2 linked regions of the Oryctolagus cuniculus genome follow. The protein of the gene in region 2 interacts with the protein of the main gene of each other region in a pairwise test. Links are inferred from orthologs where the notes say so. Each region holds a gene or a part of one and is shown on either strand. Other genes may lie near its edges.

The links.
Region 1: the proteins of APTX (region 2) and XRCC4 interact in binary tests that used the Homo sapiens proteins (3 or more experiments, as listed by UniProt). The link is inferred for Oryctolagus cuniculus from reciprocal best matches to the Homo sapiens genes APTX and XRCC4.

The regions. Positions count from the first base shown.
Region 1 is NC_091445.1:6,370,807-6,374,619, reverse strand, and holds part of XRCC4 (DNA repair protein XRCC4), read right to left. Parts: intron 2,513-3,813; coding exon 2,360-2,512; intron 937-2,359; coding exon 830-936; intron 1-829.
Region 2 is NC_091432.1:196,420,746-196,425,004, reverse strand, and holds the start of APTX (aprataxin), read left to right. Parts: upstream 1-1,311; 5' UTR 1,312-1,844; coding exon 1,845-1,855; intron 1,856-4,259. UniProt on the Homo sapiens protein: DNA-binding protein involved in single-strand DNA break repair, double-strand DNA break repair and base excision repair.

The sequences.
Region 1 (3,813 bases), on a different chromosome or scaffold from region 2:
TTCTTCCCTACCCCCAGTCTGACATTCCTGTTACCTGTCCCTGCTATGCTATCATCTTTAGCGTGTTGCACAGACTGACACACTTTGCATCGAATTTCTTTATCATCTTAGCTGTTTCCTTTCCAAGAACTTAAACCACACAATGGCCCAGATTTTTGTGTTTTATTCTTTACTGCACACAAAAGTTCTTGGTATACAAAAGGTATTCAAAAATATTTTCTAAATAAGTGATTCAAACAGTTTCTTTTTATACTAATGGGTTTAGATCAGAACCATGTGACTATAAAATGAGTTCATGGGTCACAAACTCCAGCTTGCACTGCTGCTAAGAGATCTATAAAACTCTGGGAAAAAAACCCATCGGGTGAACACCTGCTGGGCACCTGGCCCAAGGGACTGTGTAAGGATCAGGGAACCTCAGCTGCCCGTTTTCCATTCTTCTCTACTTCACCGCAGCCCCTTTGCAGAAGAATGAGAGAAGACCTGCGGCTGAGTCAGCGACTGCATAGCTGAAGACCTCACTTCAGAGCTCCACCATGGGGTCTCGCTACACAAGATCTCAAATGGTAAAGACAAGCCAGCTTTCAGGTGGTGAGATTCGCACGGAGTCCTGTCTTCTTATGAGTTATGCATCCTTGTTTAACCAGAAATAGTATACCGTGCTGTATGTGTGTATACACATGTGCCTGAACTGCTACATCTCACAACAAAGCATTTGAGGTTTTAGAATAGAAATCCCCAACGTTCTCCATCACAACTTCTTATCACTAGAATACGAAGCCCAAGCGAGAGGCACTCAACGGTAGAAACGAGCGTCTATCACTCTTACCTGCAGCCGCCACAGAGGGCCCAGCCAGGTTCTCTCCTTCCTCATCAGTGCTCGCATCATAGACTGCATCTCGGTCAGCAGTCGGCTCAGAGCAGGCTGTGGTCTCCCTACGAAGGGCGAAATGGAGCACTGAAAATCACTGGGCTCACGCTGGCTGCGCAGCAAGTTCAGCATTAAGTAATTACAGAGATTACTCCGGGGCCAGCACTGCGGTGCAGCAGGCTATGCCGCTGCCCGTGAGGCAGGCAAACCACATGGGTGTCAGTTCCAGTTCCCGCTGCTCTACTTATGATCCAGCTCTGGGAAAGCAGCGGATGATGGCCCAAGTCCTTGGGCCCCTGCCACTCATGTGGGACACCCAGATGGACATTCAGGCTTCTGGCTTTGCCCTGGCCCAGCCACGGCCACTGAGCCATTTGGGGAGTGAACCAGCAGATGGAAGATCAATTTCTCTCTTTCCCTCTCTCTTGCTCTGTCTCTCCCGCTCTCTTTAACTCTGCCTTTCAAATAAATAAACAAATATTTAAAAAAAAACTCTAGGAAAAAGATCCTAATTATGAAAATATGTATTGGAATATATATGTTTTAGGTAAATTTACTTTGGAGACTGTATATTAACTCTCTTAAGATAAATGTCTCTGTTACCTAATAATCTGAATGGTATTCAGAGCTCAGTATCATTAACTTTACAATCAGGTTCTTCTTATACCAAAATACTTTTCTGCAAAATTTTCTCTGTGGATTGCAAAGCATTTAGCACTTTCCCATCTCAATGGAATTCTGTGTTTCATTTGGTCGCCCTAAAATCCTGAGAAGGCGCCTGTTACCTTTACCCTTATTGTGAGGAAGAAGTTGAAACGGCTTGCCCAAAGCCACAGACTAATAGGTATCAGTGCTACACCAACCAGCTAAACCAGCTGACATCAAATGTGCTGTTTTTTACAGTTTGTCATTAGCACATGTGTGCCTCCTCTCAGATTCAATGCAACAGACTCTAATCTGTACCTGGTAATGCCCATGAAACCTACGGTTGTCCAAAGTCATGCAAGCCATTTGTCACCTAGGTTTCCTTCTTGAGAATCAAGTACGCATCCACTCTCAGAGAGAAGTCCACAGAAGGAGAGAGATGACTAGATAAAACTGAGTACTCCTTGGTCGTTAACATCAGCAATGTGATTCTGCCCTTAGTTCCTGCTTGGATATCAGTAAGACAAACACGCAGTGACAATCTGGCAGTTTTATAGAAGATAAAAGCTTTCTTCAAAAAAATAAATTTGTTTCTTTCTCAGTGATGTCTCAGAACTAAACAAATACCATATAGATAAGCCTCTTGCTAATTATATCACTTAGATGTACTTAAAAGAGTAGGCAGACAGAGAGCTGCCATCCCTAATGGGTAGAGCATCCAACCTCAGAATACCCAGTGATCTCATAGCACTAAAAAGTTGGCACCTAAACTGCATTAAGCCTGGAAAGGAATTCTGCTTAAATTCATGTACTTGTCATCCAAAAATATAAGCACCAAGATACCTTACGTGTTCGGTGTTCTTTTCTAGTTCTTGAATTTCACTTAACAATTTATGCAAGCTTCTGATCTTTGCTTTCTTCTCATTCAACACCAGAATAAACCGTCTGTACAGATCAGCCTCCAAAGCTTCCTTGGCACTCACGCATTTTTCAAATCTAGAAGAGTAAATAAACAAATCACAGCGTTTTTCTTAGCTGCCTCATTATTCAATGTAATACTTAAATTTCAAGAAAACTTTTGAAGCGAATTACCATTAAAAATCATGTGTTCATATGCATTCATTACCTTAGAAGTTTCATAAAGGCAATTAAAGAAGTAACTAGAGGTCACTGGTTATTCAGGTCAGTAATTTAGGTATTGAGATATGGACCAAAATTGAAAATTGATACAAATAAAGCATGAAAGACAAATAAATGCCTACATGTAATCATTTTGGTTACATCTATGGCTTAGTTATAAAAGAATGCTTTTATGGGAGAAACTTCAAATGAATAATTGCCACTGGTTTCCTCAGTGTTGCTCAATATTCCCATGAAAACAACCATAAACTTGTTCTGTGATAAAGTCATGGACCTAATCTGCTTGATTGTCCTGTAGACTAAGAATGGCTTCAGAACAAGAACATGACTTACTTGTTACATCCTTATAACCTCGTAGCACTCATGCATACAAAAAACACATCAGTCACACACACACATGGAGATGTATAATAAGTAAAAGTATCCTATCTGATGTTTCTAAAGAGCGATTAATGAAATCAGAAATGTGAAACACTACATGTCCTCAATTTTAGATATATAAGGCAAAGTGTAAAATTCTCTCATGTATGACTCCTACAGTACTCAAATGAGCCATAGCTATCTCCCGATATATCTATACAGCAGAGAAAGCAAACTTATTTGTTTGCTGTTCCACATAGGTGTCCTAGTACTTTTTTTAAAGATTTATTTATTTATTTGAAAGGCAGCTACAGAGAGGCAGAGGCAGAAGCAGAGAGAGAGGTCTTCTATCCGCTGGGTCACTCCCTAAATGGCCACAATGGCTGGGGCTGGGCCAATCCTAAACCAGGAGCCTCTTCGGGTCTCCACATAGTTGCAGGGGCCCAAGGACTTGGGCCTTATCTTATACTGCTTTCTTAGGCCATAGCAGAGAGCTGGATTGGAAAGGGGCCTTCCAGGTCTTGAACCAGCGTCCATATGGGATGGCAGCACTGTAGGCGGCAGCTTTTACTGGTTATGCCACAGCGCCAGCCCAGCACCCTACTAATTTTATATCATATATATATAATACACACATATCAGTCATGATATATAAATGTATATCTATTTAATGGATAATTACAAAGAAAACGGTTAAAATGCTAACTCTTGTTTGTATGTCCATATATTTTCAACAACCCTCCTTATCTAGAGACGCAGAGAAGTCAGACTTCACAAAGGAGGAAAAGGAACATATG
Region 2 (4,259 bases):
TTGAGAAAAATTACGCACTATGGGGCCGGCGCTGTGGCACAGCAGGTTGAAGCCCCAGCCTGCAACGCCAGCATCCCATATAAGCGCTGGTTTGAGTCCCAGCTGCTTCTCTTCCGATCCAGCTCTCTGCTATGGCCTGGGAAAGCAGTAGAGGAAGGCCCGAGTCCTTGGGTCCCTGCATCCGCGTGGGAGACCTGGAAGAAGCTCCTGGCTCCTGGCTTCGGATCGGCTCAGCTCTGGTCGTTGCGATCATTTGGGGAGTGAACCAACGGAATGGAAGACCTCTTTTTCTCTGACTCTACCTCTCTCTCTCTCTCTAACTCTGTCTTTCAAATAAATAAAAAAGTCTTTAAAAAATATGCACTATGTCTTCACCCATGAGATAGAAGATCTTCCATCTGGGGTGTGTGTGTTTGGCACAGCAGTTAAGATGTCCTCTTACCCCTGTTCCATGGGGTTTGATACTGCCACCCGTTCCTGCTAATATCCACCCTGGGAGGCAGCTGTGATGGCTCAAGTTATTGGACCCTTGCCACCCACATGGGAGACCTGGATTGAATTAATGGTTCTGGGTTTCTTTCCTGGTCTAAGATCAGCTGTTCTGGACATTTGGGGAGTAAACCAGTGGGCGTAAGATCGCTGTCTCTGCCTTTCAAAGAAATGAAAAAAAAATTCTTCCCTCTGCCAAAATACCTTGGAATAATTGCAATACATGACAGGGGTTAGGGAACGTCCTGGAATGGCTTTAAAAATCAGTGCCCATATCATTGATTGTTGCATCCTGCTTCTCTCCCTGACTGTCCAGGAGTTCCTTTAGTGAAGACAGCATTAAAAAAAAAAAATAAAAAAAATCTTAGCAGGCTTCCTCGGCCTCTGCCCGCTGCAGCCCTTTGTCTCCTGAACGGGAAGAAGATGCATTGTAGTTTAGAAAGGGGACGGCAATGCTTCAGCAGGTCTCGTCTGCAGGGGAGATGACCTTACAGGCAGTGAGCTACTGCTTAGCGACGGGAGCGTCAGGAGGCAGCATGGCCGCCTGGAAAAAGCCACGGGAGGGTTTGCTGCCTGAAGTCTCGTGCAGTCCAGACTGAGAGGCAGCGACAAGCGAATGGCCCTTAGGTAGACGCCGAGACAGCTCGTTCGCCTGGGCTAACTGCCAAGACCCACGCTTGGGCCAGTGAGGGACCAGTTGTGGGTGGGCACTTTTTACATCCGGGCATTGGGAGAGCCTGTTAGCCAATCCGCGGAGAGGCCGTGGTGACATCACCGGCCGCGCTGTGGCCTGTCTCGCGACGTGATCCGGCAGCGCCGGAAGCTGTGAGGCACGGCTGGAGTAACGTGAGCGCGTCGCTCTGTGTCGCCGAGCGGTAAGGCAGTGGTAGGCCTGCCTCTCCTGGCTGGGTTGAGAGCTGCGGATGTGGGCGCTAGGTCCGTGCAGCCACTACGCTTGGGAGACGTGTCCTCACGGACGCTCTCGTGGCTGTTGCGTCTTTGAAGACGTTGCCTCTTTCTCCCTTCAGCTCCCGGGCGCCGTTTCAGCAGGCGCTCGCGGTGGTCTCTGCCCCACTTGGCGTTAGTTCTCGCGTGTCCCTGACCTCTGTATTGAGCTTGGACCCAACGCAAGCAGAACACGGACTAATTAGAGAGCGGGCTCTGTCCAACCCAAGGAGGCGGCCCAGCTTGTCGGCAGGGACAGCGTTTCCGCCAGAAGCGCTTTCGAAGGAGCTCGAGGGTCCTTCACAAACTTCTCAGCGGCTCTTAGGAAAGCCAGACCGAGCAAGCCTCTTCCCCTAGAGACCGGGGCTAGCGGCTCAGTACAGTAGAAAGATCTTTCGCATTTGGAAGGAATGTGGTCCAGGTTTGGAGCCTTCTGGGAGTGTGGCTTATGTTGGGAAGTGGGGAGAAGCACAGGTATAGGTTTGTGCCCGTGCACCTTACACGTTGCTGGCCGATCATCTTATTTTATTTATTTATTTAAAAGGTAGAGTTACGGAGACGCAGAGGCAGCGAGAGAGAGGCAGAGACAGGCAGAGGTTTTCCATCTACTGGTTCACTCCCCAGATGGCCGCAGTGGCCGGAGCTGAGCCCATCTAGAGTCAGGAGCTTCTTCTGGGTCTCCCACGCGGGTGCAGGGGCCAGGGACTTGGGCCATCCTCTGCTGCTTCCCCAGGCCATAGCAGAGAGCTGGATTGGAAGTGGAACAGCTGGGACTCAAACTGGCGTCCATATGAGATGCCGGCACTGCAGGTGCTGGTTTTACGCTCTAGGCCACAGCCGCTCCTAGATGATGCCTTTACCCGTTCTCTGCTTCTGCGTTCATCATACCTTCACTGTCAACAAGAACGATGATGGTGTTGCCTGCTTAGTTTTGCCAGACGCTGAGTTTTACACCTGTCTCATTTAGCCCTTGTGACAAACGTAGAGGAATTTTATTTGAGAAGGGTTTAAAGCTTCAGAGGTTAAATAACTTGACTGAAGCCATGCAATGAGTAGATGGTGGAGCCCAGATTTGAACTCAAGGTGTCCAACTTAAGAGCCCTTGAGAGGCCGGTGCTGTGATGTAGTAGGTAAAGCCACTGCCTGCAGTGCTGGCATCCCAAGTGCTGGTTCAAGTCTTGGCTGCTCCACTTCGGATCCAGCTCTCTGCTATGGCCTGGGAAAGCAGTAGAAGGTGGTTCAAGTTCTTGGGCCCCTGCACCTGTGTGGGAGACCCAGAAGAAGCTCCTGGCTCCTGGCTTCGGATCTGCGCAGCTCTGGCCATTGTGGCCATTTGGGGAGTGAACCAGTGGATGGAAGACCTCTCTGTCTCTCTCTGCCTCTGCTCTCTATAACCCTGACTTTCAAATAAATAAATAAATCTTTTTTTTTTTTTTCTAGAAGAGGCCTTGAGGGTCACTACCCTTCAGTGATTTTCTCTAGTTGTTCATTAAAGATTCAAAGATTTACTTACTTGAAAGGCAGAATTAGGTTCACAGGGAGATTTTCCATTCATTGATTCACTTCCCAAATGGCTACAAAGGCTCGGGCTGTGCCAGGCCAAAGCTAGGAGCCCGGAGCTTCATCTGGGTCTCCCATGTGGGTGGCAGGTGCCCACCTACTTGGGCCATCTGCTGCTGCTTTCCCAGGTGCATTAGCAGGGAGCTGGATTGGAAGTGGAGCAGCCAGGTCTTGAACAGTTGCTAATATGGGAAGCTGGTCTTGCAGGTGCTGGCTTAGCTGGATGTACCACAGCACTGGCCCCTGTTGTTATGAATTCTTTTATGGAGAAAGGGTTTTAGATGTTTTCCCTTCTTAGAAAATCACTTAGGTTACACCTATCTGCTTTTCCTGTAGTCTCAGAGGATGGGTTGTTTCTCTGATGAAGGCAAAATTTTTAATCTTCTAACCTTTTTAATGCTTTTTATAGGAGACCTTGTTTTGTTTCTTTTTTTAAAGGTTTTTATTTAATGAATACAGATTTTATATGTACAGCTTTTAGGAATATAGTGTTTCTTTCCCCCATTCCTGCCCTCCCATCCCACCTCCTACTCCCTCTCCTATTCCATTTTTCATTAAGATTCATTTTTAATTCACTTTATATACAGAAGACCAACTCTGTACTAAGTAGAGATTTCCACTGTTTGCACCCACACAGAGACACAAACTATAAAGTACTGTTTGAAGACAGGTTTTGCTGTTAATTCTCATAGTACAACCTCATTAAGGATAGAGGTCCAACATGGGGAGTAAGTGCACAGTGACTCCTGTTGTTGATTTAACAATTAAGACTTATTTTTTTTAAAAGATTTATTTATTTTACTTGAGAGTCAGACTTACACAGAGACAGAGAGAGAGAGAGGTCTTCCATCCGCTGGTTCACTCCCCAGTTGGCTGCGCTGATCCAAAGCCAGGAGTCAGGAGCTTCCTCCTGGTTTCCCACGCGGGTGCAGGGGCCCAAGGACTTGGGCATCTTCCACTGCTTTCCCAGGCCACAGCAGAGAGCTGGACAGGAAGTGGAGCAGCTGGGTCTCGAACCGGCGCCCATATGGGATGCTGGTGCTTTAGACCATGGCGTTAACCCTCTGTGCCACAGTGCCGGCCTCAAGACTTATTTTTGATGTCAGTGACCACCCGAGGTTCTTGACATGAGCTGCCAAGGCTGTGGAAACCTTTTGAGTCCACAAACTCCGTTGGTATTTAGACAGGGCCATATGCAAAGTGGAAGTTCTCCCTTCGGAGAAAAGTACATCCTTCTTTGATAGCCCCTTCTTTCCACTGGGGAA